Linked DNA regions of Neodiprion lecontei. The protein of the gene in region 1 purifies or fractionates together with the protein of each later gene. This does not show direct contact. Links are inferred from orthologs where the notes say so. Each region holds a gene or a part of one and is shown on either strand. Other genes may lie near its edges.

Region 1 (17,259 bases):
ACTTATCTGCCATGGCGAGTGTTTGTTTGGTTTTTTATTTTTTTGGAATAAAAATGTCACCTACGATCTTTTTTTAAATTCTCCTCTTTGATCCTGCGGTGAATCAATCGACGCGACGGTTGTCGACGGTTGAAATACAGAAAGGAAAAGAGCGTTTCCTTTACGGGAATTAAAGGCGTTCGTTTCCCTTGCGCGATGAGAAAGGAGAATCGTCTTTCGGAATATTGTATAACACGGCGCGGTGTGACGGTGCGATAAAAGAATACCCGATACGCCCGAAACGACAGCGGAAAAGGACATTTCAAGCGCTATCACACACCGGGTAACGACGCCGGGTCGGAGATGGAACTCTGACCGCGTATCTCATTTCTCTCCTCCTTCCTTTTCCACTCTCGTTTGCCTCAATTTTCTAGCGTAGTAGAAAGACACTTGAAACGGAGAGCCAATCAGAAAGCGCACCGCGAGTGCCGACATGCAATCAGCAATTCTTCTCCTCGAAGATCAGACATATAGCGAGCAGTCCTGCGGGCATTTGATCTTCGCGCTTCTCTATTATTCCCGTTTTCCCACGTCTCCTTATTACTTCCCGCAATGCCTCGTCTCCTCTCCCTTATCACGATATCCCTCCCATCATCCCGTTTCCAACCTCTCACATCTCTTCTCTCTGCTTCCCCGTCGAGCCTGCGTTAAATCGACTCCTCGCGCGTACGGTCTCATCGGCATCTTCTCCCACCCACCCGTTCGTTCCTTAAAAAAATAACCCTCCCCTCGGAGGAATTCGAGAGGGTTTCCCTTCGCCTTGGCCAATTTATTTACACACTAGCACACCTCGTCGTCGTCGAATCTGGACTCCTTCGTCGTTCTCGGATCAATCATCGGACCCGGAACACGCCTTCGTTACGACATCGTTAACCGCCTCGCAACAGCTGCGCTTCAGAGGCTGACCGTACATTTGCTCCGACTACTGCCGATCATGACGTGGGGGGCGGCTGAGGGGGCGAAATATGAAGTGGTCGTTAGCTCGAATTGCCGGGATTGAAAGAGACCTCGCGGGCATTGAAATGGTAACGCTGGTATGAATCGGCTACACCGTTTCCACATCCAGCCACTCGATCAAAACGCGGTGCGACAGACTTTTAGTCGAAAGCTTATGACACGTTTGAAACGGGTTGAAAAATCGTTAGGAAAAATCCGCGGACCTTTTGCCTGATCGGTGTGCATAAATATACCTGTCAGGGGAAAACCATCGGAGGTAAACTTGTAGCCGCAGGTCATCGATCGATCTGTCTTTAGGTGAGAAATTAATCAAGCCAACCCGCACGCGTTTGCCGTTTCCTCCCTGGTTTCGACGAACGTTTCCGACACCCCGCATCTGCTCTACGCAAGAACATTTCTCACGGTTAACCGAGAACTTCGGACCCTCGGACAGACACTGTTGACAGATGGTAATAGCTCGGAAAATTATCGCATCAAACATTGATTCGGGCCTACTGCAGTTTCGGAATAGATGTTGCAAAGATTTCACGCAAACAACTGCTCATGTGAGAATACGACCCTGCAGGCGCAAGTGTTTGACGCTGTTTAAATTAAGTTTAAACTCACGACTGCGTTCGTTAAAATTTGCGGACTTGTTCTTGGACGGAAAAATGAAAGTGAAAGAAAAAAAAGCTGTTGTTTTATTATCATATTTTTTCCACAATTTCAAACGCACGAAACAAGTTTAACTGTACACATGTATACCCTGAGACGTGTTACTGATTATTTTTTGTCAATTGAACGCGACTCGGTTTCAATTTAAAACAAGGTCAAACGAACTGATATCGCGGTGCAGAGGTAAAGTTGTGAATTACGGTAAGACGCGAGGTGAACTTAGTCCCCGTTCAAATTATAATTGCTTCATTAACCGTGCGTCTGTCGCATCGCTCTCCCAACTCCTTGACAGAATTATAACTTGGCCTCTTTGTGGAGTGCGTATATATATATATATAAAATATCCTTGCGAGATCCACGAAGCAATGCGGCTCAATTAGGATAAAAACATAAGCCAAAGCTGAGGAGGACAGCGGAGGCTGCTGGGATATTTCCTAATCCGGTAACGTTGCGGAATCAACGTTTCTCAGGTGTGTCTCGGCTTCCTAGTCACGAAATTTCGTTCTCTCGTGTATAGAAAAACCTGGCATTCGTCCAGGCACGGATTGTGTTTATGTGCGGTGAGTATAACCCATCGAACATTACATTTCCTCCCCAGCAACGGAGATTCCGCGTCTCTCGCTCGCCGCCTTTGATATCCGTATACCGTTTTCGTCTGTTATACGTATGTACGTATACAGGTATACAGGTGCGTGTATTTTCTCACCATGGGAATACGGAGAAGGTCGATACCTGAAAGAGAGATAGAGAGAGAGAGAGAGAGAGAGAGAGAGAAATAAAAGGGATAAAAAAAAAAAAAAAAACGCGAACACCCCCTATTCAAAAGAGCCGTATTGTCCGCGGAAAACGGTTCACTTGTCGGCTACGAAACGGCCGACTGCCAACTCGAAATATCTCTTGGCAAACACTCCGGGGGTTGCGGCTTTACCTTCCGGAGCGATGGTCTCTTCTTTCTCATTCCGATCACCCGCGAAATCACCTTGCTGGGACAAAGTTTTACACCTTGTTCGACCCTCCGTTCGTTCTTTCCTATTTTTCCACGACTTTACAACGGCGGTGGAGAAATTTAGGGGAAAATGAATTCCGATTAGCGGTATTATTCAATTCAAACTGGGAAAGAGTGATTGTAACGGTGCAGTGCTTTGGATACGTGAGAGAAGGGAGAAAGTTTCTCTTCTTTGTATAAGTATAATCACTGTACATAATGGATCTCGTTAAAACCTCCGAGTTGAATTTTTACAGCAGTGCTTCCACGCGATGTCTTGTATTTCAATTTACATTTTTCTTTCAACTGATTGTGAATAATTAAATACGGTGAAGGACGAAACAAAGTGCTGAAGAAATTGTTGAACGAGTCAAACGTCGGAGAACCTTCAGACTTGTGACACGTGCGTCGTATTTGTGGAATCGAAAGCAACCAGTTCTTAACATGGCACGTTTGGACCCAAGTATTGACCCTTTTATTTTCCAAAATTATAAACTGCCGGCACGAATCGTGAATTCCTCGATAACTAAAACCAATTGCAGATTATACACTACAAATTTATTTCTTGGTAATTTTGTAACTAACGATCAAACAGATACAACCAAAAACTGTCAGTAATTGCGACAGGGTCGATAACTGGTTACACACTTACCTCACCTGTCTGAGCGCGCATAATTAAAACCGAATTCGAGACACGTTCTGCATATAATATATAATAATATGACGGCTCCGAATGCAGCGGACTTATCCCAGCTCATCTACACCCGACTCTCCCAACTTCCGGCTGTCCTATTAGCGTCAACCCCCCCATGGCATGCGGCAGCTCTTTTCTCCCATTGGCCGAATCGAAACAACTATAAACCGTAGAGAGAATTTAGAGAATTGTAACAGTCACAGCATCGCCCTCCAGGCATACACGGAACATCTCTTGTTGTACGAAAGTCAGCATTGCGCGAACGGGGATGATAATTGTTAGAATTTACCCAGCGAATTTCATCACGGCTGTATTGTTACTATTATTGTTGTTGTTACATATAAGCGTTTATGTTATTGTTAGACGTATGCTTAATACGACTGTATCACTGGCTCGATAACAAGACGAGCACTCGTCGCCTGGCGCGTGTCACGCGTATTATACAGCGAATGTCCTGATAAACCTGCAGGTTGTAATGCCGGTACCCGGAGGGAAATATTTCCGTTCCTACGTGTAGGGTGGCAAGATGGCGGGGTATCGACTCTGCGGCCTTGCAGTAGTCGTGTCACCGTTTGCACCGTTCGTAGTTTTATTTGCGGACGAAAATATTTCGTCCTGAGGTGAATTACGGACGGTAACGAAGTAAGGATAGATTGGCGAGAAAAAATCTTTTACGACCAGATGATACAGAGAGGAATGTTAATCTTGACGCGTGTCAACGATTTTCAATATCTGACTATAGCTATGATGTAATCCAGCCCCGGTGCAACGGGCCGAAACATCGATTTCAAATTTCACAAAGGACATTCCGTAGGGCACAACTTTGTTTGGTATATGCTTGTGTTGTAAGGCGTGCCTTCCTCGTTACTCATTCCGACGAAGAATTTCGCAAATCCGGACAGCTATCGTTCGCCGCGAGTATCTGGTTGCGTTGTTGCCTGAAGAGTTTTTCGCTAAGAGAACGGTAGTGGGAACGAGACAAAGAAGTAATCCAGGATAACGAGGGTCCTGGGAACATGGACGTCGTGGAGGAAACGCACACAATCCGAATCGTTAATTGGGAGAGATATGGGTTCCGCTCTTGTAACGATGGTTCGTCGTTATCCACGTTGTAAGGCGGTATCAAAACGCCGCTGCAGCGCTGTGACAAAGAGTAGTCGCTGTTTTTTTCTTTTTCATTTCATCTTTTATTCTCCAAGCATCCGCAATCGGTGATTGGTGACTTACCGCATGACAAGAGGATCGAAATGTCCCAACGGCGAATCCATATCGAATCACCATCTCAACGATTTCTCGCGCGTATTTATCAAAGTAATAAAAATCTATTTCAGGGACCCCAAGCTGAGAGCCGGAGACTTTTATAAGAAGTAGTTAATTTTCCGATAGATATGTCAGACCGCGTGCGGTATAGGTGTGAGTGTATATTACACCTATACGCGTATAACTTGTGACAAAGGTGAACCGCCTCGGTGGGTCAGCCGTCGGTATAATTAACGACGTACGTTATTGGTAATAATTAATTACTCCGTAGCTAGCCAGCTAGCTCAGTCATTGCGGCGAGAGAAGTATAATACATATAATTGTGTCGTAAATTTTGAAAAGCAACAGTCGGTGTCGAGTTCAACAAGGACGTACGGAACATTTGACGCGTTTCCATTATCAAATTAAACATCGTAAGTTTGCGTAGCCGTGATAAATTATGTAAAAGCTGATTCTATCACTGCCGAAGCAAAGTACGAATTCTGGGACTGGGACATGAGCTTGGAAGCCAATGTCCTAATCCCGGGTAGAAATTTAGTCTTGATCACATTCGGGCGTTGGACCGTCACCCTCTTGGCAGACGCAATTAGCTTAAGATAATAATCTTAAGATAACGTTTATCAAACCCAAGGTAACACGCTGTATGGTTGGCTAGTCCCAAGCTACCGTATCGTTACTTGGAGCTATTGGCTCTCTCGGATCAGGGTAACAGGTAGGTACGTAACACGCATGTAACCATGTTACATTTCCAAGATCGAACAGTAACATTATAGTCAAGTATCGGGTCTTGCGTAACATTGCAGTGATAAACAACTGGTCACAGAATTTACACCACATCTATTAAATCTGGTGTATAGGAGTAACTCACAAATGTTACATTACAGTCGTCGATATGGATGCGACGTAACCGATGTTCTTTAGTCGGTTAGAGTTACGTTACATCTGTTATATGAGAGTAATCAAGTAGTATTGCATCATGCTTATATCGATGCAACGTAACCGATATCGGGCTGCTTTGTGTGCTCATGTTGTCTGACCGAAAGGAAGGTCCTTTCAGTGTTCCTTCTTCCGGTGCTGTCATGGTAAGCTAAAATTCGGCGTGCACGGGTGAAAAAAAAACATGTAGCGCTTCACTCCTGTGTGTGAGATCATGGGCTTGTCATCCAAATTGCCGCGAACTAACGAAATGGCGGGTCTAACCGTCGGTTAAAATTGGAACAAGGTTATAATGATTCGTAAAGAAATAGTGTGATCTTCTATTATTGGTAGGACTAGTGACTATTACGGTACCTCGATCGCCCCTAAATTTTTATATTTTACTGTAATTATTAGCAAGCGATAAAGCAAACATTCGTATCAAAAGGTTCTCCGTGCAGAATCGGTAACATCAATGGAGCCGAGCCTCGGCAAGAGAAGCGAAAACAAGGGCATCTTGAATCCCGTTATCAGTTTACATTTCGCCCCCGCAATAAACTCGCAGAGAACAAAGAAGGAGCTTTAACCACCGATCAACCCTCCGGCTCGCCTCTGCGGTACGTTGTAATTTACCCCGAGCCAATTCGGAAAGCAGTTATATTTCGGCTCTGCGTATACGCCTAATGCTTCCGAATTTGTCGAAAGCCCGGTACAACGGAGTCTGATTTAAATTTTAAACGGTTCCACTCAGCGGAAGGGACGCCCGCGACCGGGACTCGAGTGAAATCGAATATTTATTCATATCATATCGCTTTTAAAAACGATGTAGGGGTAATTCGTAAATTTCCACCACTCTATTCAGTGTCGTGAACGGTGTAGAAACTTGATCGATCCGCATTTTTCACTTATAACAAAATAGTCAGGTACACAGAGCCCTGGGAAAACGGGCACCTTGATACGAACAATCATTAATTATGCAGGTGGGGTGGTACGAGACCTGAAAACTGACACTATGCAGCTGCTGTTGCCCTTCTTGCGGAGAACTGCATTATGTTAATGATGCACGGGGAGTTGTTGAACGCAACAAGACATAATCGGACGAAATGGAACCCCGATGAATATCGAAGTTCGTTTACCGCAAACTCTACTCGTATCTCAGAATGAGTACAGAATCCTTGGAGGACACGTAAGAAAAAAAAATAAAAATATACTTCGAAACATTCTGAAGTACGATAAATTACTTAACTAAACAGGCTATTCATCGCAGACTTTATTTACAATCGGCCCGGAAACGCGACAAATTTTTATAAAATTTCTTTAATTGTATCGATTAAGCAACCATACACGTTCGAGATGTCACTCGTCTTCTTTGCTTATTTTTTGGATAGTGACGGAGGTGTCACGTTACCGCTAATTGTTTACGTTTGTAAACGATCGTCTTGTCGTAGCTACAGGTAGAAATTCATGGGTATATTCATAGGACGTATACCCTTCCGACTGGTCGTGGTAATTTTGTCGTTAAATACGTGCCTAATTGCCTTATCAGTCTAGTTCTTGCGAGTCTATTATTAGGTTTGTATCTCTGACAAAGTGGCTCTACGTTATATACATTATGCAATACGGTTTGAGGGAGCTGAATCATTAATTGTACGTATTCGACTTACCCGTTGCCTGCACCAGTCTCCCGAGAATATTATCTTCGCGACACAAATCACAGATTTATCAATCCTTTATTTATTGCGTCAAAAGAAACAAGTAAAACAAATAGAAAACCAATTTTATTTCCAAAATCACCACACTGTAATTATAACTTAGCCAACTGCTACGTTCAACGAATATAATTTTTTTTTTTTTCCCCCTCCCCGTTTAACGTTAACGCGGTATATTTCTTACAACATGAATTTATAATTTAATATCGTATCGTAGATATGCGTGTACATAGAATTGTATTTTTTATTTTTTTTTTTTGTTTTTTATATAATTAAAATTATTAACTTTTTAACCATAACATATATGTATATATATTTTTTATTTTTTTTTTTTTTTTTATTTGTATTTTTCCTTATATATATAGTTTCTTTATGCTTGCTCCTTTTTTTTTTTTTCACCCCCCTCAACGACTACGCGAGAGTCTTTTTCAACTAGGATAAAATGATATGTATTATATCTCCGACTAGTGTTAGCGATCGGTCAGCGGTGTAACGGATGCATATAATCCAAGGTGCACACTTTTTCGGTTTATTTATTATTTCTATATTTTCTTTGTTTTCCTTTTTTTTTCAAATACTTCGGCTTTTCCCTAAACTAATGGAATTTCGGTTCTGTGCTCGTTGCGTCGAGTCACATTTTAGTGTGACACTGGCGTTGCGCGGTACAACCACACGGTTCGCAGCCGTTCCTCGCTCTTCGGCGCTTCGGAAACCACCCCTATCGCCCCTGTTACCTTTTCCACCCCCTGGCACACGCCGGCCGTCGCCCCCTCCACACCCCAGCCGCCGGCGGTCCTATTGACGTGCGAGTTTCTACTCCCCCGGCCCTCGCTGCCACCGACGGTCTCCCTCCTTCATCCCTGCCCCCGGCTTTCGGGGGTGGAAAAGAAGCCTGATGTAATGCCGTTACGTCACGGCGCGTCTCTGCCAGCACACCTAGCGGTACACTGAGGGAACCACGGGATTAGCATCGTGCGCCGTTTTTCACCACCATTTCCAGCTTCCGGTCTACCCGCCGATTTAAATTCCGTAAAAAAAAAAATAACTATGATTTTGAATATAATTTAAAATATCCAAGTTTCGATAAACTATACCCGTGACCAATATACAATTCAATGCCCAAGAGAATATATTCAAACGATATAACGCAATTATCGCTGAAATTAATTCCAAAATTTTTCCATGTGATGCTTCAGTTTTTTATGAAAATCATTACTTACTGATTTTTTAGTAATTTGCTGTTACTCGTGATATTGTACTGGATATATGTCAGAATTTCACCAAGTATGCTCAAGAATCATAAATAGTTAATACCATTCTTCTCGAGCCAAAGTTAGAAGGAATATAAAAGCAGTCGGTTCGGACTTAAGGTATCTATTTTCGAATCTTTATCGAAACTGAAACAAATTATTTTATTCGATTCTATTGCATAGTTTTCTAACAACAACGAATTGATCTTACCAATCTGAACTGAATTTTCTTAACTATAGCACGTGAAACGTTGCAGGAGGCTCAGTCAAGATAAGAGATATAAATGGGTGCATTTTATATGCACCTCTCCTTCCAGCCGTAATAAATCTAGCCTCTAATCTCATTGCTGTACTGTACAGCAAACTGCAGTGATGCATTTTTCATACAACTACGGTAGCTTTCAAGCTTTAAATAATCGATGTTACCGAATCGCGCCTTAACGTCTGCAACCCGTAAGCCTTGTGTGATTATTCGCTGCCTACAAAACGGCAACATCTATGTATAAAATCAACCTCTTCTTTTTGATGTTCAACCTTTCAGCATCGATTTTTCATCTTCGCTGCAGATCTGTATGCAATTCTTACGTGAATCTTAAGCTGAAACAACTTATTGAGGTCTAAGGTAACTTCTTCCCGTGACAAAATCATTAGCCAAATTTTACCGCTGGCTGATCGGCAAAAAACAAACATTCATTTTTTTTTAACCTCGGGCGGATCATCCATCGCGCATGCCCCTGACATTTTGGAGATATTTTGAACTGCTAGTTTGGCCAATGGCGTCGTCAAAATTTTGTATCTTGAGTTGTATTTTTAGGTTATGTTACATCGCACCATCCATTGACTTGCAGAGATATCGGGACCAACAATTCCCAATTCAATAGCTACAAAATGTTAAATGTCGCGGGAAGACGAATACCGTATCTGATAGGTATACATTTACCGTTTTGGCAGTATGATATACCCGATAAAACTGTACAAACTGCCAAATCATTTAACTCTGATGCGAACGAAAATGAAACCGGCTGGGATAGGTTAAGAAACATGTACAGTCTCGAGTATGTACTTGTTTTATTAATAGTAGACCTTCGTTATCCCGCTTGTTACAATCAACGCACGACACTTTCATGTGTCATTCTCAAAACTAATTTTTTCCCTTTTCAAATCGTTCTACCCTCTGTTGCCTTCAATTTGTTCTTTGTTCCTTTCTTGACATCCGCACATCGAATTGTCTTCTATCTTGTCAATCCATTAAATAATGCAGCCGTTTACGTTACAGCGAGTATGGAAACCGAAGTCCTGAAATGCACTTCGCTGTACAAGCAACATTTTTTGGAACGTTTGTTGGACTCGTATATGGAGGCTCACTGAATTCACGTATGGCGTATGTAAATTTCATGGAGAGAAATCAGGCGACAGCATTCACAAACATATTCGAGGCGAAAAGAAAATTGCAAGATACTGTTACAATCAGTTTTGCCAAGGGTGCTTATCACTGGGCATGGAGAATCGCCTTTTTCACTGGCTCTTATGTGTGAGAATCTTACGCTAAAATTTCACGCAACAAACTAATCTAGTATCTTAGAATATTTTGAGTTTCAGATTTAGCCAACTACAGTCGTCCTAAAAGTATGTTAAAATTGTAGATTACTGACAACCTCGATCGCAGTTTATCGTGGCAAGTCATCTCTTTTAGAATATGTAACTGCGGGTACTATAACTGGAGCGATGTATAAAACAATGTTGGGTCCGAGAGCAATGCTTGTTGGCGGAGCTGTGGGAGGAGTTTTCGGCGGTGTAGCTGGTGCATTGTGTTTAGCATTGTTAAAAATAAGTGGTACGACGATGGAGGAAATCCGATACTGGCAATACAATTGGAAGAAGAGCAGAGACAAGTGAGAGACGGTCACTGATTTGAACGTGCCGTTATCATTTTTCAAGTATTTTTAGCTCACTTACGTACAGTGTGTATGAATAAGTCGTTCTAATTAAAGTATTTTCTCTCATTACAGGCGAATTCAGAGTTCTATGAGTCGCGTTATCCAGCAGCCAACAGACATCGAAATGTTGCATGACAAAAAAGTGGAAAGTCTAGAGGTGCAAGAGCAAGAGGTTAAGAAAAGTAAAGCATAGTCACTCAATTTAGGTAGGTCTATTTCCATTGGTCTTGTAGATATTAGACTTTATTCGTTGTTATACATAATTATAATTTATTTTAAATTGTTCAGAGAACAATTATAATTTAATTAATAATTTCTAATAATAATATGTGGTTTTTTCTGTTTCTTTAAAGTACATTATATGTATATAACTCATGCAGACTTAATTCACTAGTACCTAAGGCAACGGCACATTTTTATGATTGCTAAAATTGTATATGAGTACGTTTAAGAAAATGGGTGTCGATCATGTGCGAATTATATTTCTTTACGTTATTTTCAACATTAGTTACACCTGTCTAACCCAATACTTGAAAAATTTGTTATATTATAACATGTTAAATTCTCAATCCTTCAAATTGATGCAATTTCCTGCAAGTGATTAAATTATGATACCTTGGATAACACAATTTTTATATAATGATTATAAAAATCGCTAATCTTATTCTCTATCACTGCAATAAACTATATACCGATTGTGCCAATAAAATACATAATCAAATTTGAGCAATTGCTGAAAAATGTCTACTGATCCCTCTAATCGAATAATTTGAATGTAAAATTCTGATCTACAGCAGCATGCATGTTCACAATGAAACGAAAATATTCTTGATAGAACACTGGTCATAATTCGCAAACATTGAGAGATATTCCTAATTCGATATTTTATGAGCCCTATTCTGCAGGCAAGTATTAATACTGAAAATTTCCATGCTCAATACTAAACATAAGTTCTGATGGAAATTCGAGGCAGCTGTTTATTGCATAGTTTTGAAGTTAGCAAAGTCGTTACCGTGTATGCAATAAATACTACATATGCTCACAGAATAGGCCTGATAATCAACGACATATACGATATGCAAATTAGAAATGTATAGAAAAAAAAAGTTCTTGTCTAGTCAACTTCATTCGATCAATATTTCATTGTACACTATAAAACGAAAACCGAATTTTCCCATTTGGATGAATAATAAACGAGAAATGTACTAGAAGTGAATAAAAGCACTGAATTTGACAGTCAAAATTAAGCAAAGAGTAATGTTGCGGAATAAATAGTAATAAAGCGTTGGGCAGTTTACTAAAATCTTACAGCCTGCTTGAATTTGTTATTGTCCTAATTGTATAATTCATCAGAGTTTTATATTAAGTTTCTTGTTCTGCAGTTTCTGGAGTTTGAATCTTGGTCAAACGTTTAGCACCTCTGTTTGGCGGACCTTTGGGTTTGGCAAACTTAGGTCGGTGCAAATTGACTTTCGGATGTAATTCCTCTTGCAAAAATTCCATGGTTAGTTCCTTTCCGTCATCAATCTCAAGCTACAGACCGAAAAATTTTGCATAAACAGAATTAAATTTCTACAATTTTCAGTAACAAGAAATAGAGATACTTGGACGTTTCAAGCTCAAATTATCATCCAAATGTTACGATTGGATATAAATAATTTACAATAAAAAATCATGGTATACCAATGTCAGGCCTATACTGTAAGCTTATAAAATATAATTACTAAATATTAAACGCTATTACGTACCCGTACGATGATGTTATCACCCTGGCATTCATTCCCACCTATTGAATTTTATTTGTCTATTTTCATTTACAATATACGTATATAGCAAAATAAAATTATTGAAAGAACTGTGGATTACAGTAAGATATTGACAAAAGCAAGAAATATTCTTTTTAAATTGTATAATTGTGTTTATTATTCATAATATATTTAATATTGGCAAGAATATACAATTTATTTGTTCATAAGAAGGAACCTATAATGTTTTTAACAAAATTTTCTTTATAAATAATCAATCAATACAATGAACGCATCTTACAGAATAGGCCTGGCCTGGAACAGTGGTACTTATAAACATAATTTGCGCCTGGGCGAACGTGTGCGTCTCCCCCTTATGCATATATCGGAACACAATTTCAAATTTTGAGCGTCGTATAGAAAACCATTGGGCCCGAAAAAATTTTAGTATAGTTCTATCATACAAAACTTAGATGATCACGATTTTTCCACAAAAACAGCCCATGTAAATTTGTGATATGAATAATACCGTAAATCGTTTCTGTTATTCATATTTATATGGTTTACTATTCAGATAGAAAAAAAATATACAGGAAATATCATATTCGGAAATTCGATGAATTCAATCAATCGCCATTGTATTTCTACATTGAGCGTTGAGACATATACTTGCAAAAAGTTATTTCAACAGTGGCGGGGGATCTGGGGGGGGGGGGGGGGCAATTTCTCAAGATAGTTTGTGACTACGATAGGATTACGAATTCACAATTATTTTTTCTATCAAAGGTAGATAAAAATGCAAAAAAAGTGACCACGTAAATTTGCATACTTTCAATTTCATGTTTCTTTTCTTTTTTAACAAGTCCCAGATCATAAGTTAAAATCCAAAGATTTCTAAAACGCTTATAAAAAGCTACAAGAGTTAAAAAATACACGTCACGAAAAATATAATGCCTCTCGAATATCATCATCTTGTTGTTGCCTATCTGACAACTCTCCCACTCTGTATAACTGTGTAAATTTTGATCAATATTATGCTAACTTTATACATAGATATAACAATTTTGGCAAATTCGAATCACGATTGATCAGTTTCGCTGATTGTATCGTTAATCATAGAACATTTAATCTCCAATTTCGTTTTATATTCCTTTGATATCATGTCTGGGGAAATATTTATCGTGTAGTAATGTATACTTGTATCAGTGATAAAAAAAAGCTTTGTGCAACAAGATTGGGCAATGATTCTTACAGGCAATGATACAGATATATCACTCTTAACCATTGGACATCAACCCAAAGTGCTTGGAAAGTCAAGAGATAAGATGTATCTATTAATATCGTGTAACTAATAAGAAATAATTCTTCGATAATAACTCAAGATTTCAAAGAAACATATGATTTTAAACTGTATTTAAATCAGCTGCGTCAATATTTTGCATAGCAATAAATACATTCAGTAGATATTCGTATTTAGTTTTAAAAAAAAAATTGGTAAAAATTGTTGGGTAAGGAAATAAGAATCAAGTCATCTGATTTCGTTTGGTAAAAACAAGATAGGTACATCAAATCCATTATTTCTCGGCTCTAATATTAGATTTTTCGAAAATCTCAACCGCTAAAAAAATAATCCATGATGTTTGATCCAAATTTTAGAAAATTAAATTACCGTTCAAAAACAACATAGTTATTCATAAAATGGCTTTGTCGATTTAAAGAAAAAATCCAGATTAAATAAGATACGAATGTTTGAGATAGAATTTTGAAACAATCAGTTGATTCGCATCATAAGGATTGTTTGGTTCTTACTCCGCACTCAAGGCTCACAGATATACAGCAAGTGGGATGTGCTGCGTTCAGTCTTACGTCGTATATATATTTGTGAATTTTAATATGTCATATTATTTATATATAATATAATAGTATAGAGTATAATATATATAACGCAATATGTATATATATATATAATATATATTATATACATATATATTGTTATCGTCACTATTAAAATGCAAATAACTCGATAATGTGGAATGAATATAGCTCAACTCTGACGTTAAACAATAACATTTGCACATTTTTTATCATTTGTCAACACAATGTTATCATTAGAATATGCAGAGCAGTCAGGTTAGTGGCGTTAGCTAGCTAGAGCACATGGAATTCTTTCCTAACTCTCTAATAATCACATTCAGCTATATGTGGCTTGCTGAAAATACTAAATTATAACAATACCGTCCTACACCGCTTAAATTCTATTTAGTGTCGACATTGACGTTTGGAATTAAGGCCCTTAAGTTTCATCTAAAGACATTAATAGACAACTTATATGTACGTATCACTTGATTTGAGACTAGGAACTAATTTGAGACAAGGTATATTATATACTGGGTTTTTATACATTAAACAACTATGTGCGAGTAATTGCTTTGTTGCTCTTCTTTCTCATTGTTACGTGTTAAAACTCGCAAACGGCAAAGATCGCGACAGATCTATCAGTTTCAACCATTCTGAATTAATTTGAGTAATCAATAAACGTATTCGTTAGTGCAAGCTACCTGAGAAATAAACTTTATTTTATTTGTCATCACTATAATATAATATTTTTATTGATTAAATATTTTTTATATATAGTTTTTTGATTCTGGTTATGTATGCACGACTTTTCCAATAAGGTAAAAATCCTCCAGTTAATGCATTAACTCAAATCTGGCACGTGACAATTTCATTATTATTATATTCAATAAACCTAAGGGCTAAAATTCGGCAAGTGACAAAGCGCCAAGCTGCTATCGAGTCTACAATGCGACTTCATATGTAAAGTGTACTAACATTAATATATAGGTACGAAAATAATGTACTAGTAAAATATTTTTGATGCGAACTTGTCATAAAAACCCAGCAGTAAGGGCCTATTTTCCAAACTGTTTGAGACGTATAATTTGTTGCGATGAAAGTTGATAATAATCTCCCTCCAAAAAACAAACGAATAAAAAAATGATACATCATACTCGTTCAAAACAAATCTAAATAGTTATTAGATATATTTTCTGTACGTAATATTCTTTTCTTTTTTTTTTTCTCTCTCTGTACCAGAGATATATAGTATATACGAATTACTTAGACAAGAATTTGGCTTACCAATTTTGGTATTAGAATTTAGAAAAATACACCATTTGGTCTACTCTAATTTACTAAATAGATGCATGTTATCACTTTGAACAACTAATTCTAATAATCCAGAGATGTTGGTATCAGTAAATGCGTTTACTTTTAGAATGTTTTCAAATTTCAATTCAATCTACACAATAACATGTAGAAAATTTTATAAAAACAATATTTCCTAACTTGGAAAATCAAAATTTGTGGTGTAATCAGCATGCGTTGTTCTTGTGGTTGTTGTTATTCCTAACAAATTTGAGGTTGACGTAGTTTATCGATAATAGTTTTAACTGCAAATTTAATGTTTCCAAGTGGAAATCATATCACCTCCCTTTGCAATGTCAGAACCGTTTTTGAAGCAGCAAATATTAATTGGAGAACCTGTTAACTCAAGACGCACGAGCGTTTTGGTTTAGATTTTTTATCAGGTATAGTTTGTGGAGGGGCAGAAGGTGTTGACGGAGTGGCAGGAGTTGTTGCTGCAGTTTCTTTTATGGTAGGAGGATCTTCCAACATGTCCGCTAACTCTTCGCCGCTATTTACTTCCAACTGTGATTCGTTATATACAAATATCCAATCAATTTCAACGATTTCTCCTTTTAAATTTTCATATATTTGCATAACTAAGTAGAGTCGGCACAAACTAATTTCTCCGAGTCCAATAAATTCCCTGCACTGTCACAGTTTAAATGAATTTCATTACTTTCCAATAATTAATTCCAAAATTTACGCGTCATCCGTTATGTGATCACAAGCAAGTGTGAAAATTAGTAAGCAAGCCCACTTTTGGAAAATGGAAATTGCTGCTATACTTTTCTCAATGGTACTTTATAAGTTTCTATATGTACTTTACAAATTACACAACTCGAAACAATGTAATGCCAACATCTGGCTAATATGTAATTTGCACAATTTTTTCCTGTTGATTTCCTTTCATTTTTTTACAAAAGTGTGCAACAGTGGTCTCTTTTTCAGATTATCTGTTCTGTACAAAAGCTGGAGATTATTGAAATTCAATTTCCAGGAATTTCAGTCACCCAAGATAAAAATACATGTTCTCGTCGAGCATTGCCCTGTTATATACCCACAAAGCTGCGACCCTGAAAGCGTTTGAATAGAGTAACTTAATTTGGCTCACCTTTTTGATTATGTTGACTCCCAACGATTGAATAAGATCTAGAAGGGGTCCCTTGCACGAAGAGTACAGCATTCGTTCTTTGATGCTGCAACTGTACCCGGGCATGCTGTATATGAAAACTGGAAGATATAAAGTACAAGATTGTAAAAAAAAAACTGTTATTGCAGAAATACAGTGTAAATGATCTCCTTTCATCAAGTAATACCAAACACGTGAGCCAATAGTTCATAAAGGGCAGAATGCATACCGATATTCTCCATGTAATCACCCTCGTGAGTGTGTTTGAAGTTGTATAAATGATATCTGGCAGAATCAGCTGGCACTTTAGTTGGCAGTTTATCTAATGAGACATCACAGGCCATGACCAAATGTATCTTCTCCTCTTCTAGGTCGATTTTCAGCTGAACATACTCGGTAATTCCTTTACCAATGTCGTTAATGGCCTGCTTGGCTTCTTCCGTAACAGGAAAAGCGACACCGCTCAAAGTCTGCTGTCTTGTTTCAACACTGTAATCAGTGTGTACAGAAGTTTTCTTGATCTCAGCCAGCTCCTCTTCAGCTGTTGTCAGGGGCGCGGGAGCAGCGTCGTTCCTTTTGTGCTTATGGTATCCTTCTAGCGTAATGTCCTCAGGGACTGTGCCATGCAATTCTTCCTTGAAGGAAGCCGTTCCAAATTCCTGCTTGAGCGTAGCCTTCGTTGAGGCGTAAAGCATCTTTTGCCTTATAGACGCAGTGTCGGGTGACCAAGAAATGAACAACCAGTCATAGCCGGAGTCAGGCGATTTTGTATCAAGCCGATAAAGGATGTAGGTTG
Region 2 (15,440 bases), on another chromosome or scaffold:
ATATACGTGAATAATATCAGCAAACTAAAATGTTCAAACATAATTACACGTGGCAGCACATTGCAATTCGGGATTGACATTAAAATTTCGTCGAAACAACTCGGTTGTGGAACGGAGTGAAATTGCCCGTGCGACACGTTTTACACGTACAAACGGTGTATACCTATGTCCTTTGACCTGTAGGAAATTATTATATATCTTTCCTGCAGGTATAAAACGGAGAGACTTTCATGTATCCCTGAGGATTTCTAGTTGGGTTATACGCGTCCGGTGGGACAACTAGACATAAACATTTCCGTGTATGTATATATACGTACACGTAGTGTACAACACGTGTGAACAAGGATCACCACGCAGCTTAAGGCAATCCCGTACTAATTCTTCTTTACCGACTGAATTTACCCACATTACTTTTTTTTTCGTTTGTTAATAAGAGACCATTTCTACGGAAAATAAGACACAAAGAATTTCATGCCAGTTTCCAAGACTCTATTTTTTATCAATTTAAAATAAGCCAAAGCAGAAAATAGGAGTAAAGAAACGGTTTAGCTTAAATACGACCATCTAACAACAGATCATCTTTTCTACATTTTCTGCCATCAGATGGCGTCCTTCTAGTTCTAATCTTCAGATATCCAATAACGCAAGTTCTAATAGTATAATCGCCGCTTTTAATTTATTCTGTCAATTGCACATAAACTTAGTTACTGATAATTAGCAGTAACTTGTCTCTCATTGTGTCATATTTACAAGACTCCTTAAGAGAAGTCAGTGTCTATCAACCGTGTAAAATATGACCAATTTATAGTGTTACGCATCACTAATATTAGATATTCTCGCGTGAAACAAAAAAGTTATTCGACATATTTGGTCAGCGCTATAATATACGTATACAACTGCGCTTATTGCGCTATCGATACATCAATGCCGATTACGGGCTCCAATAATAGTTAAAATGAGCAACGCTCTACTCTGTCGTTAAATACGAACCATAGCATCCCGCTTAAGACCGGAAACGGAATTACATTGAAAGAAGTATTCGACACGTGGTGGCCACGTTTCTACAAGTACGACGATGCAGCTCGGCAGCCACGTTCGTAAGAAAAAGAATTTTCCTGGTTTAAGTTTGAAGGAAAATTTTCTTGTTTGCCCAAACGGAACTGAATACCAAGCAGCCGTGCCTTCGCACTTAAAGTCAAATTCTCTTACATACGAGCGCTGCACGTATGATTTAAACGTGATTTTCTCTTCTCCTATGTATTTTTTTTTTTTTTTTTATTTGTTTTCACTCTATTCTTTATTTTCACTCGTCGTCATTTTTCATAGGCGGATCCTTTGACCAGGTGACCATGGAAGCTGGTCGCGGTCTTTGAGGCCGCGTTTCAAAGTTGTTGATGCTCTCTTCAAGTCGCAATCTTACGCGATAAAAATCGCTTTGAAACGCAGCCCAAACGAAGCCGGGGACACGCCGAGGCTCCGACGGACATTAAATTGAAATTGCTCAGCTAGCTCTCATGCATACATATAGCATATATACGTTTATATACACAGCGTACTATATAAACATGTTGTGGCTTACAAACTGTTACATATATCAACGGGACGGGAAAACTGTAGATTTTACAGAACGTGTCATCAAAAAAGGGAAGAGCCTCCTCGCTATACAGCCATAAAACTGCGCGCCAAAACTGCTGTTCTTTGTTTTATACAAGTATCTATATCGTATGTATGCAAAACGTATTATGCCTGTTTATGTGTATTTATGTCGTTTTGTCTCTATTCGTACACTACTTTCAAAGAAAGTTTCAACGATGGTTATCCTCGTATATGCTGTACATCGCAGTTTGTCGAAATCTTGAATCTCGTATCTACTAAACTTCGATTTTCCCGTTGTATTCTTCAGGGATTCTGCACTCACGATCTTATCATTTTTTATAAAACTTCATATTTTTATACAGACTTACGATAAAACTTCTCCGACCTAAACCAAGTTTTAGGCTATCCAAAACTCATTCTAGTTTATTCGTTACTGACAGTTTAAACATAGTTCACTTTACGATGAACAAATGTGACATTTTTTAAAAATAATTATGCAAGTAAACAGTAATGTCTTCGAAATTTTCTCTGCAGTCTATATACGGTAAAAGTTTTTCTTTTCTTTTTCATTTCTACGGTTGCTTTGTCGTAAATTATAATTATGACGTAACCGAATGCCCATTTTCCCCAATTACTAGTCATTGAAAAAACTGAGGAAAAATTACTACATCCAAAACAGGGCAAATAGAAAGAATTCGATGTAGCCCGATCGAATATTGTTTGAATATTTAGGTAATTAGGAAATCGTAATAAAATTCATAATCCCGTTAATCCGACGATTTAAAAAATCACCCACCTTGACGAGATAGAGAGTAAACTGTGTTTATTATCGTCGATAAGAATCGTCAGTTATCTGCGGGATTTGCACTAAGAGACTGCAGTGCTCGTTACAACAAACCCGTAATTTTGTACGCAATTCGCCTGTATAACATTATCAACGATGAAGAGCTAAACATTGCCTATTGCAGCAACGTTGCTATTGCGTGAGTGATAAAAAAAAAAAAACTATATCAAAGAGTTTGTAAAAAATGTAAGTATCCGGCACTTGAAAACTTTCGTAACTTTACGTGTAAACAGGGATCATTGTTCGATTAATATTCGATATTTCACCAGCTGTACAGTCACTGTATACCTAATTATTTCATATTCAAAGCTGAATGAGGTTAATTTACTTCCGGTTCAATGCTTTGAAGTAAAATTTCATAATACATGTCAATAAACTTGTAGAAAAATTGTTTCTGACAGTATACAATAATATTTTCTTTACTTATTTATATTTTTTTTTTGAACCAAACTGCATAACAGATAAAAATGAAAAATCATGTCTTCATTAGCACCGTGTAAATGTTATTACAATACCGAACGGTATAACATAAATATACCCTATTGGGAAACCGTTATTACAGTAAAATTCTGTAAGTATGATGATAATTATATCCAGTAACGGTTACGACCGCGGTTCAGATGCAGAAACTCGCTAACTGCACCTTGGCGAAATCCAGGAACTATTAGAAGTCCCGAGAGCCGGATGATAATAACGACTTTTAAATAAATGGGGGTATTCATTTCGCCAAGTCGTCGCTGCTGCATCTGTTTCTTCTTCTTCAGCTATTTCAGAGCAAGCGGAATTGTCGTCTCGGGTACCAGACTGTGAGATGAATGATAAGTTTCATCCTCGATGATTTATTAATGAAGAAAATCGGTGCATGGATCAGGATTTCAAATCGAAGATCCGAGACGCGGAGCGAGCAGATTTCGAGCCCGCGTTGAGTTAGATGGTATGCAAATATACGAAGATAGGGATCGTGCGCCACATGCGAAGCCGAGTGGAAGAAATAATGAAAAGAGGAGAAAAAGAAAAAAAAAAAAAAAAGAAATAAAACGGAACACAGAAGACGTAAGAAACAGACGCGGTTGCAAAATCAAACGGTTGGCATCACCGATGCATTAGATATACATCTTGAAAATCTATATTTGTTGTACAAGATGAGTATATGGTATATACCTGCGCATTTACGTAGATATATACACATTATACAAATAAATAAACATATACTCACGGGATTTGAAAAGATTCGCGGCGTGAGGAAAAGTTGTAAATTTCAAAATTATACATTCATGCGCTTTGTATCTAGGATATGTATGTATATTTCGTATGTAGATACGTGCGAAGTGCGACTGATCTATGGGTTGCGAAACGAGTGGAACTTGCAATCTTGTTTCAAAGAAACAAGCATTTTACGTATACCTTGACGTCTAACATATATACATATACATATATTTATAAACATAGCTTATACACGTGGTCCTCTTGACATGGCCATAAATATTTACCGTCCCGTACATACCTACGGACGTATAGATGCGCAGAACCGTTCCGCTGGTATGATCACATATTTTAGCGATTTGCGTGTTGCGTTGCCGCGGAATATGTCATTTCACCGCGACCTGTTGTTTCGTAGATTCAAGTCGTACCCTGCAGCGCGACGGTTTTCGAAAGAACGCTTGAAAGACGTTTACATCATTCTGATAAGGTCCTCGTTATGATATTCCACGATTATCACATTGTTTATTATACATATTCATCGCCATTTATGTACGCATCGCGCGTGTTAACCCGTTCGTTTGTTACACCAAGAAACAGTTGATAATTACCGGTTGCACATATCGTATGATTATGGTTAGAAGAATAATGAATTATTCTCGAAATAAAAACACCCGCACTCACAATGCCTGAGCATACATAATGCAATCGTGCATCCTATACATATACAGTGTTACCAATCATTACGAATCTTGCGGTATAAAAACATTGTACACGTAATATCCGTATCGTTTGCAGAACGCGTACCGCTGACTGAAAATATATGCACTGGGTAAATAAAATTCAATTCACGGTAGACAGAATATCCCCTGTATGTAAACGCAACAAATCCGGTTAAATTTCACAATAAACATTGAACGGACAGGTGTTCATTTCGCTGCAGATTCAAAGAACGCGCTAAAACAAGGGTCGAACGTGTCGTGAGCCAACTTACCGACGGAAAAAAATCCCGCGATGTTTTTGATTCTTCTCCGCAGGTGCCGCCTGTGACTAAAATCAGTGACGTCACTGGCGTAGCCCATATCTTTGTCATCGCGGGACATGGGTTCCAATGGGTTCATTTTGTGTAGTCGTCTGATGGCGGACCCGATGATTTTGATAGTTCAAAAGTCATTCTGAAAAAAGTATTCGGTTATAGCACGGGTTAACTAATTGTGTTATGTTTACGATATTCATCTCTCACAAAATCGCTTATTCCCAATGAAAGAAGTAAATACGTGAATTGAAAAACAAAATTATTCGTCATATATGAACTGACGGACGCACGTCAACTGATCGATATATGAGAACTTCGAATTGAGAACATGATGACAAACTTCCACTGACAGAACTTACGTACGTGCTCTAAGTAGCAAAGGTACTCATTTGTTTGGTTATTATTATGCAACCTTGATTGTACACAGAAAACCTAAGATTCGCTCACATATTGCATCCTCAGAATCGAACTATTACAATACTTTCCTTTATCAGGCACTCTTCACTTTACTCTCTTTGGATAATTTGGAAAAACTGCCTCTTTGAAGATTAAAGTATCTATTAAATCAAACGATGGGATCCGAGCAGAGCTCTCAAAGCAACGATATACCAGGATCAGAGAGCAGCAGAGCGCGAGCGGTTCAATTGCGGCGTGGAAAGAGCGTTCCGAACCGAGATGGAATCCCTGAAGACACACCGCCACGATGTACGAGTCCCGGACCGAGCATTTGCTCGGATTCAGATCTGCCTTACATATCGTACACAGTGAACAGGCCAATAGGAGATTCACCCAAAATGACGAATAAACAGGCCCAATTGCAGCGAGGAAAGAGCCTCGGAACGCAGGAATTATCCAAGCGAAAACCAGGTATTGGTGCCATTGGGCACAGAAAAACTCTCTCGGACAAAGCACACAACATCGTAGTCGTCAAGCCAGCTATTTCTGAGCCGACTGCAGACATGGATGCTGATCTAGTTAAATTGCATAGCATACCGATGTTTCTACCCATTATGAGGGGAACTTTGAATTTGCCACCTGGAGTCAGAGACCCTGAAGTCTTGGAGCGACTGGATCCCATCGGTTTGTTCAATCTTTGCGCCCGATATCAACACCACTTGAATACAAATGCACAAATGATTGCGACTGAGCAGTCCACACTCAACACCACCCTCGACGTCGAAGTTATACGAATATTCAACATGGCTATAGACAGGCAAAAGAGATTCACAAAGTTTGCTGAACAGCTGAATAAGATTCATCATATCAGCCAACAACTGGACAACTGCCACACCCAACTTAATTATACTTTAGAAAGCCTCGAAAAGCTCAATAACTACCTACCAGTTAATAATCGACTTGAACCATTTGTTTGGACAACTGGATAAGGATTTAACACCTTTTCATCAAATACACTTCTTCAAAACTATTTGCTGTCAGCATTTGATACCATATCAAGTAATCAGCTGTTTCGTGGCAATTATTTCATGCATTCTATAAAAGATGAGTTTAATTCTAGAGTAAAATTATAAGTTGCAGGACAGGAGAAGTTCGTTTGCGATAAAACTGTAAGCTTGGATAGTCTAAAGCACATGAATTTTCAGAAATCGTGCTCATATTTATGCTTGTCAAATATTTCAATTGTTTAGACATTTCAAAGGATCTAAACACTTGGCATTTCACAAGATAAGAGGCTCTTATTACTTGTTTTGTTCTTTACAGCACTGTTATTTTATTTTAGATTAGTTGAAACCGTTTGCTTCATGTTCATCATCGTCATCAATAACAAGCAAAAACAATCTATGACCATTTAAATCGCTGTTTTACTGTAGCAAATGCTATTCATTTTGTTTCAATATTATCAATGACAATTTTAGCAAAGTGTAACCTCCCACAGTTTTCCCAACTACTTCTCTGCCAAAGTAGAATACCGTGAAACTTAACCTCTATATTATATATACTCTAATGTAATTAAAAAAATATCGTAAATAAACTGATCAATTTACACACACATTTCGTCCTTCTATTCTCTGCTAAGGCTCTCATATGTACAAATACTGATCACACGGCCATTGCCCATGGTCATAAATCAGCAGCTTTCCGAGACTTCAGGTTTCTGTATGCAGTTATGGCTTCTTTCTGTCGTTCCTCCAGTTGTCTTCTTTCCCCAACCGGGAGATCTTTGCGTTTTCCAGATCTATTGACAGACTTAACGCCTGTTGTGTTCTCGGCAGATTTGTCATGGCTCTTGAAAAGCGAATCAAGAAGAAGACGTCTTCGTCCAGGCTATCGGAAAATCATCGGTAAAATTAATCCAAAAAAATACAACGCATAACTAATCAAATATTGGTAAGGTTTTTACCCGTTCGGAGTGAGAAGCGTCTGCTTTTTTCGGTTTGATTTTTAGTTCTGGAGGAGCGTGGACAACATCTCCAAATTCAATAGTCTCCTTGAAGACCTTGAACTCGTCTATATTGTCCTGCAGTTTTTTAGTTTTTTTCAACTCGAGCTTGTGTTTCCTTTTCTGAGCTTTCGTCAGCCTAGTCGTCTCGGTGTCTTTCTTCTTTTTCTTTTTCTTCTTGGTATTACTGTGCTTCAATTTGAGTCTCATTAATTCATCTATCTCATCCTTCGATCTCTTAGACAATCCTTCGATATTACCAGTACTTGGATCTCGCTTGACTTCCACACCATATTTGTCTTCAAACGCAGTCTCATTTAAGAACGCCTGAGTCTCCGAGTTCACTCGGTTCAAAAAAGCCTTTCCACATTCGTCTGGTCTTTGCGAAAAAACAGGAACAACTTTCTCCGGTCTTGCCTTGGGATGAGCGATCTGTGGATGGTGATTGCCCATCACGATCAGTTGATTTTTCAGCTTCGTTTTTTTCTTGGTATTTTTCTTCATCATCTTACCGTCCTTCACGCTTTGCTTCAGCTTCATCACGCGCTCAAGACTCTTCGGTATCGCCTGCTCATCCTTGTCCCTCGGCGGCGCGTTTATCACTTTGTTTAACCTAAAATTTGACACGTTACGATGATCAACTTAACCTACAAAATTTAATCACACAACTCCACGCAACGATATTTACTCTGATAAACGCTTCTTTTGTTGCTTAGTCGGGTCCTTCACTCCTCTGTGTTTTTTTCCGGGTATCTTGCGTCCCATTTTCACTTTATTTCATAACTTCAATGTTTCGGCTGTACTTATGTACTAGTTCCAGCAGCACGCACGCTTCGAATTTGGACCAACCAAACTTATTGTTTAGCCACGGATCGCAAATCCCGACAGTGCTGCACTCGTGCGGAGTTTTTACGAACGATTTTTGTGCGGCAAAATTTAAATTTGGTGAATCACCCACCGGTGGAGGCTCCGCCGGCCGCGGTGTTGAGAAAATATAACCTAACCTCTCAGCAATCTTATAACCTCGGTGTGTAACCGATATTACGGAATGGGATGTTAAACATAGAGGTTTTTCAAAGAATATCAATTACACATTGCATAAAATACGAAAATCGTTTGACCGGCACGCGGATTTAAGCATTACGACTATGATCGTGCCTCCGTTAATTTGAGAAATACAACAAACCATTATACCAAGTAGCAATATGACATCGATAATAAGAAGATCGTATGTGTTGCTCAGGGTTTATCCAGGAATGAGAAAAAAGTTGATACTGCACGACCTGAAAAGTTACCGACCAACAACAGCTTTGCGTTGCATATCTGTGACCAGCGCTCATCTGTCTAAAGACAATAGTAACAAAAAAAATGAAGGTAGCAAGGCGGTGAGTTTTTACGGGTTTGCACAGGTTAGAAGTAAGGAGAAAAAAACGTACTTAGACGTACTGCGAATGTTCGTCGACAGAGACATTCACAGGCGAGGTCACGTCGAATTCATTTACGCAGCAATGAAGCACATGGAGGAATTCGGAGTCGAAAAAGATCTAGAGGTATACAAAAACTTGATCAATGTACTACCGAAGGGGAAGTTCATTCCGGAGAATACGATACAGGCTGAGTTCATGCATTATCCAAAGCAGCAGCAATGCGCGATAGATGTCCTTGAACAGATGGAAAACAACGGAGTTATACCAGACAGGGAAATGCAGGATATCCTTCTCAACATATTCGGTAAGCTGGGATTTCCGCTGAGGAAGTATTGGAGAATGATGTACTGGATGCCCAAGTTCAAAAACGCGAGTCCATGGCCATTGCCAGAAGTTTTGCCCAATGATTCTCTCGAGTTGGCCAAACTGGCCATAGAGAGAATTACTAGCATCGATTTGCTCCGAAAAATCACAATCTTCCAGGCAAAAGATCTCGAAGATTCCATTGACGATACTTGGATTGTTTCTGGAATGAGTATTGGTCAGAAAAAACTGCTTAACAAGCATGCTTCCACAGCCCCCATATATGTGGAAGGGCCTTTTAGACTTTGGTTAAAAAACTTGACCATTAATTACTTCATACTGAGGGGAGATCCTGTTCCAAAACCTGACCTACCACCGCCTGACGACGATGGTAAGAAATATTCTTCTAAAAGTGATTTGTTGTCTTTTTCCTGAAACTCTCTTCGCCAATCTAATTAACAATAATGATCTTTTCCAGACGTTAGTAAAATTGAATTGCCATTTTGGAAAACAAAAAAATCTGTGGTACCGACTGAAGATGAGACGGCGATTCACGAGCAAGAGGATGGCACGATATTTGCTGTTTGTGCGACTGGAACCTCTAGTCGCGACTCTCTATTATCTTGGATTAGATTTTTACAGAAAGAGAATGACATCTTAGCTAATATTCCCATTATATTTAAGCCAAAGAGTCCCTTAGGCGACGTTGTATTGGCCAATAATAAATCTGACAAACCTAAAGATGAGGGAGTAGAAAATAAAGTTAATAAAGATTAGAATTTCATGTAAACAATTTCACCTGTACATAGTAAATAAAAAATCTGCGATCGTCGCTCAGCAATGCTTGAGCTATTTATTAAAAAAATAACATTGACTGGTGTGGTTTTTTAATTTCCCTGTAACTTGTTCAGTTTATTTTTTCTCTATCGCAATATTCTTCTAAATATGTATCAAGGTTTACATTTCAATGATAAAATCGTCGTAACTGAATGCGAAGTAAAGAATTTAAATGAATCGGAAAACTTACGCTGAAACTGTTGCGTGTTTAATTTCAATTACACGATCGCGCTGATCGAATGTCAGTTGAGCAGCGCTGTTTTCATCAAGAAAAAAAAAATCAAATCCCTATAAGAATGAAAACCTTGTCGCGGACGTATAAAAAAAATTAAACGATTAGCGTGAATTAATTTTCTCCGAGTCGTAATGACGGTTTAAAAATCTGTTCAAAACAAGGATAACTATAACGGGCAATGAAAGTATTTCTATGCTAACTGTGATAGGTAAATATCACGTATGTAGAAAAATCACATCACCCCAGCAGCTGATAGGATAAGATGGCCGCATGTGATACAAACAAATAATGGCGAGAGATCCACAAAGTTCGCGGGAATAATGCGGGTGAACGGTAAGTGGCATCTCGTACATTAGGTTTAAAAATATTCCGTAAAAGTTTGACATTTCATTCAGAAATAGACTGTCAAAGATAATCCGCGCGCGGTACTCGTTCACCGCCTTATCAATGTCTAGCTCACATCCTACGCACGTATCTTGACCTGCTCAATAACTTGTAATTGAAACGATGCTCAGGACTGCCTAATAAGGGTGGACACTGTACAGTTGAAGTTGAAATACTAGTATTTCATTATTATTTCGTACGGCGAACTGCGAGGCAAATTTTTATCCATATCGGCGTGTTTTTTCATCGATAGAAACGTTCTAATTTCAACAGTTTCGAATCTGATTAAATAATTACCTGTCTCGTTTCAATGTACATATTTTCACTTCGTACGCACGTAGGTATGTAAATATTCACAAGTACTATATGCAGCAAATAATAAATATCAACGCATTTTTCCACTCCCGTTTAAAACTAGATCTTTCTACGTAATACATACGAGATAAGAAAATGGCCACGAATTTATTTTCGGCCGTTCATTCTCACATAAGAATTATCAACACTTGCAATTTTAACCACAATTACTGAGCGTATCACCCTTTGCTTGAAATTCATGTCTTGAAATCGCGATTAAACCTGTCTTTCAGAAAGTTTGAAACGATCAATGCGAGGACAAACTTTCACAAACAAAATTTTTACGAATAAATATAAAATGTCGTATCAAAAGTTTATCTTAAGAATATTATTTCTTTACCTGTTTGTTCATTCCTTGTTTTTGACTGTCTTCAGCGCCCGATCTACGGTGGAAATCCAGATGCACATGAAAATGACGTATGTTCCGCGTAATGCGAAATATTTGACTGATATTCAATCTAACATGACTGGTTACACGTATCCTGGACATGCTCCACCTCTGGGATCCCATAATCAGAACACAGATGAAAACAGGAACGAGAATAGCTGTGGAAATAAGGAAATCTGTCAGCAGAATAATCAAAACGATACACAGCAATCGTCTGGGACGCAAACCGTACAAAAAGTAGACGCTGCTACCATGACCGATCCACTGCAGATCGACTTTAGACTGACCTCCGAGTACTTGGCACGATGTTCAAGCACCTTAGGTTTGCCTTATGTCTTTAAATATGAAGATAATAGCAACAACTCGTCTCATAACTTTCAAAATGTTCGGCCAAAGTTGGAATTTGAAGTTGAGCCGCAGCACATTAACGGTGATTTATCCTTTTAATAGTCATCAAGAACCCCTCTTTTCCTTTACACGAAAGTAATGTTAATGCTACTCCACAGGTATGCTAGTATATCATTGCCCAGAGTGTGCGTACAGGTTTGACAATCGAGATGCGCTGCACGAGCATCTAGAAGATCACAGGCAACGGCCACATATCTGTGATATTTGTGGAGCTAGTTTGAAGCGCAAGGAGCATCTGGATCGACACAAGCAAGGTCACAACAAAGACAGGCCTTATCAGTGCTCAATGTGCTGTAAGGCTTTCAAACGTAATGAACATCTTGCTCGACACATGATCATTCATTCAGGTAGTAAAAATCAAATTTGTACAGAATGTGGTAAGGCATTCTACAGAAAAGACCATCTTAAGAAACATCTGCAAAGTCATAGCGGCACTAGGAATAAGAGCAACTCAAGTAATTCTCAAAATAATCAAAATGCGCAGAATTCAAATGAAGAGGGACTCAGCAATTTTGCAATGATGATGAGACAAGCTGGACCGCCACCGTTTTCTATTTTACGCACTTAGCTGTGACTAGATCGCTTTTGTTCATTAGTCACATAGTTTACCTAGAATTCATGACTTGTATTTGAATGATTTTTCTTATTTCAATATGATGATGATTTTTCACCCTTATTCTGCGATTTTTTTTTTTTGTAATATAAGAATTCAACCATGGTGCTGAGTACTGTTTGAAATAAATAGGATTATTCTCGTTTATTATATTTGATTGTGATAAAATTAAGTAACAGGGAATTCGAACAAAACGCACTAAAGATACCATGAAAAAAAAAAACATAGTAACTAAAAACGTTAAATTATCTTTTTTCCCACAATATGTGGTAAATAAAATTTGTCATTGGGATCAAAGTAAAATATATCATAGTTATAATGTGTTACTAATTTTTGTTCTGAAGCTGTGCTGTTCGCACAATATGATTCTAATGAGGTGCCGAGTATGCGGATTAGTTCCAATCCAATTTTATAATCCTAGTACTCGATAATTCACTAAAGAATTCTTTTTCACCCATTGTAACTTGAGAGTGAGTACTTTTTTCCAACTCAGAGAAACAATGAGATGCTCTTCTTCTGTGTTGACTTATAGTGATGAGTATCATAAAATATTGGTATAATATGAGTTTCATAATTATTTGTATTTAAAATTGTTAATTAAGGTTGCTGTGTGCTTTTATACAAGCAATGCAAAGCGTTATTATGTGAAAACAATTTTCTACCACACAGCATACACCTAAAAGTGATGCAGCTAATGCAAATACGTAGAAATTAAGGTGTTGTTCTAATTTGTTAGATCACTTTGTTGTAATTTAAAATTTTCGAGATGAGTATGTACCTGTGACAGATAAATTTTCCGAAATTTTGAAAACTCAACGCAACACTTCTGTTAATCTATTTAAAGGAAGCATGTAAAGGTGTTGATTGTTATCGAGTTACACAGTTTCAAAATACCAGTACTAAATATTTGTTATTTAAGGTTTGGCAGCGTTACTTATTATTATAATAATAACCTTTGTATGAATTGAGCTAATCATGGATCACCGTCATAGCGTGTGAATGATTATTCGCTGCGTATTAAATTATTCCAGCATGATAAACTTGATGCTGCAGTTAGTAAAAGAATATAGGACCCATGATGAAATATCAATATTTTAGCAAAAAACGATGCTTATTTATGATATTTGCATATATACACACACCCTCACACATATGTATATATAATAGATACAAAAATCAAATTACGTATCTTATCCACTAAAATTTAGTATGTAATATTTACAACCCTCTATAAGAGTATGGAGTTGCCACGTGTACCTTTTTTCTGGAAGGGGTGCATTATTGCAACACTGCATAGTGATTTTTATATTTCGTTAATTATTGAGAAAAGTGCCAGAAATTTTCTATACGTACGTGTCTTTCGGATAATTGTTTGCTATGTTGATAAATCAGTATGTTGAATAAATTAGCTTTTTGCTACGATAGCAAATAAACAATGCGACAACTTTGTTTGAGAGAATAAAGTAACGGCAACTCTATATCTGTCCGATTTCTATGTATAGCTATATATCATGTATAATATTATTCATACAAAAGAAATGCATGTACACACATTGTTGTCTATTCGATCTGTACATTATATTTATTATTGAAGCTAGACGAATTTATTGTATTGGTTCAACTTCATAGTTTTTAAAAAACAATACTCACATATACTAACGTTTGTTATTTACTGTAGCGAACATATTTAAATTAATAAATCATTATTATATACAATTATACAATTAAAAAATATATACTATATATATTTGTCTACTCATTGATTAGAATTGTTCAGGTTTTTAATATCTGAGGAAGTTAAATTCCTACCAGCAATATCCTTGTATTGTGCACTGTTGATGGTAGTTTTTTGCAGAATGAGCTGGTCTGCTAAAAACTGTGAACATCGACCAGTCTACTTAGCTTGGAAGAAATTAAAGCGATATTTTTGCTCTTACTTACCTTTGGAAACACATTACTCATCATCTCACGAGCACCGCTTTCAAGTAGGTAAGATGATATTTATTGAACAACTTCTGTCAATGCTGGAAGATGTTAAAAATTTGTTAGCGCTTCTTTTCATTTCGTGGCCTACATTCATTTATTTATTGTTTTCTTTGCTAATGTTAATATGTTTATGCAATCTAAACAAAAAAAAAACAAAAAAAAAAAAAATTGAGAGCGCCAGAACGGTTAATTATTAATTTATAAAATGTTTGATATCAGTCAGAAAAGAAAACTAAACCAATATATTGTGTATCACTTATAGTTACACCTATCTATGTACCCTAGAAAAATGGTACATGATACAGTGATACACGAATGCTATGAAAGTGTAATAATAAAACGCAAAGTACAACTGACATAATAAATAGCGGTGCTTGCAAACGATCATTATTAGCCATGTACCTATAGGTAGGTTGTTAAGACGATAAGTTCCAGTTCAAAATAATTTATCACTGTACATACAAGCAAATATTTTTCGTGCATTAGAAACTTTCAACTTCCTGTAATATTATTTCGACAAAATAAAATCAATTTTAGATTTTTACAAAACGATAGTGTAACTTCTTCATTGACTATTGTCAAATTGAAAGGATGCAAACTTAGATGTGATCGAAACGTAGGTAAGACATAAGTAAGTCATTTGCACTACTGTTGACACTCACTATCGGAAAAGTTGAAGATTTTGTACTATGTCGAGGATTTTGTATATTCATATTTTTATCTTTATTTAAATTTATTTTTTGTATTTTGCTTCTCTTCATCACTTCTGTGCTGGAAAATAAGTTTCAAATTGCTGCTTCACCGATTACCTTTACGCACGTATAATTCATTCACTTTTGTTCTACATAATTGATTGGTTTTAATACATGAATAATTCCTAATCACGTATTGAGATATTATTCAAATTCATATAATTTTAGTGTTACAAATAAATTTCAACACTGTAGAAAAATATGATTTTCGTTTATCATTTTGCATTTGATTACAAAGTTTTGAATTTCGTTCACAGATTGGCACTGAGAGACGTTAAGGTTTTAATATACGTATTAAAAATTTCTATTAATTTTGATTCGCTACGTATCAGATGATATTTGATACACTGATTTGAGGTAATAAGACAAATTGATTCACAACCATGGGTTTTACAAATGTCAAGCATTACTGGACTTTTATCCGTTGCTAGTCGTATGTTAGATAAATTAAAACAAAAAAATTTGAGTACAAAGAATAGAAGAAGAATTTCATATATAGAGTATTACTTCTCATTTTTGAGACCATTCATTTTATTTCGTCTATCAGTGTCCAATCTCCATGAATCAGAATAATATTCAGAAGTGTATCGAGGCATTGAGGCTTTAGCAAGAATGTTGTGTACACATATATACTTTAAATATTGCTTTATGCGCTTTTTCTGAAATAAAATTTGATATT

Evidence for each region.
Region 2: the proteins of RPII140-upstream gene protein (region 1) and evolutionarily conserved signaling intermediate in Toll pathway, mitochondrial purify together in Homo sapiens (affinity purification with mass spectrometry; 3 studies listed by BioGRID and IntAct, counting the BioPlex papers as one, with this or other methods). This does not show direct contact. The link is inferred for Neodiprion lecontei from reciprocal best matches to the Homo sapiens genes TIMMDC1 and ECSIT.

What each region holds. Positions count from the first base shown.
Region 1 is NC_060263.1:36,263,894-36,281,152, forward strand, and holds RPII140-upstream gene protein, read left to right. Parts: upstream 1-9,240; 5' UTR 9,241-9,351; coding exon 9,352-9,518; intron 9,519-9,739; coding exon 9,740-9,994; intron 9,995-10,106; coding exon 10,107-10,355; intron 10,356-10,472; coding exon 10,473-10,593; 3' UTR 10,594-11,762; coding exon of another isoform or gene 11,763-11,933; 3' UTR 11,934-12,572; downstream 12,573-17,259. Other genes in the region: twinfilin, read right to left, coding at 11,763-11,933, 16,446-16,564, 16,693-17,259.
Region 2 is NC_060261.1:8,882,922-8,898,361, reverse strand, and holds evolutionarily conserved signaling intermediate in Toll pathway, mitochondrial, read left to right. Parts: upstream 1-8,069; 5' UTR 8,070-8,279; coding exon 8,280-9,195; intron 9,196-9,282; coding exon 9,283-9,581; 3' UTR 9,582-9,587; coding exon of another isoform or gene 9,588-9,613; 3' UTR 9,614-9,672; downstream 9,673-15,440. Other genes in the region: BLOC-1-related complex subunit 5, read left to right, coding at 5,249-6,061; coiled-coil domain-containing protein 137, read right to left, coding at 6,756-6,959, 7,036-7,687, 7,763-7,839; zinc finger protein 343, read left to right, coding at 11,015-11,432, 11,509-11,978.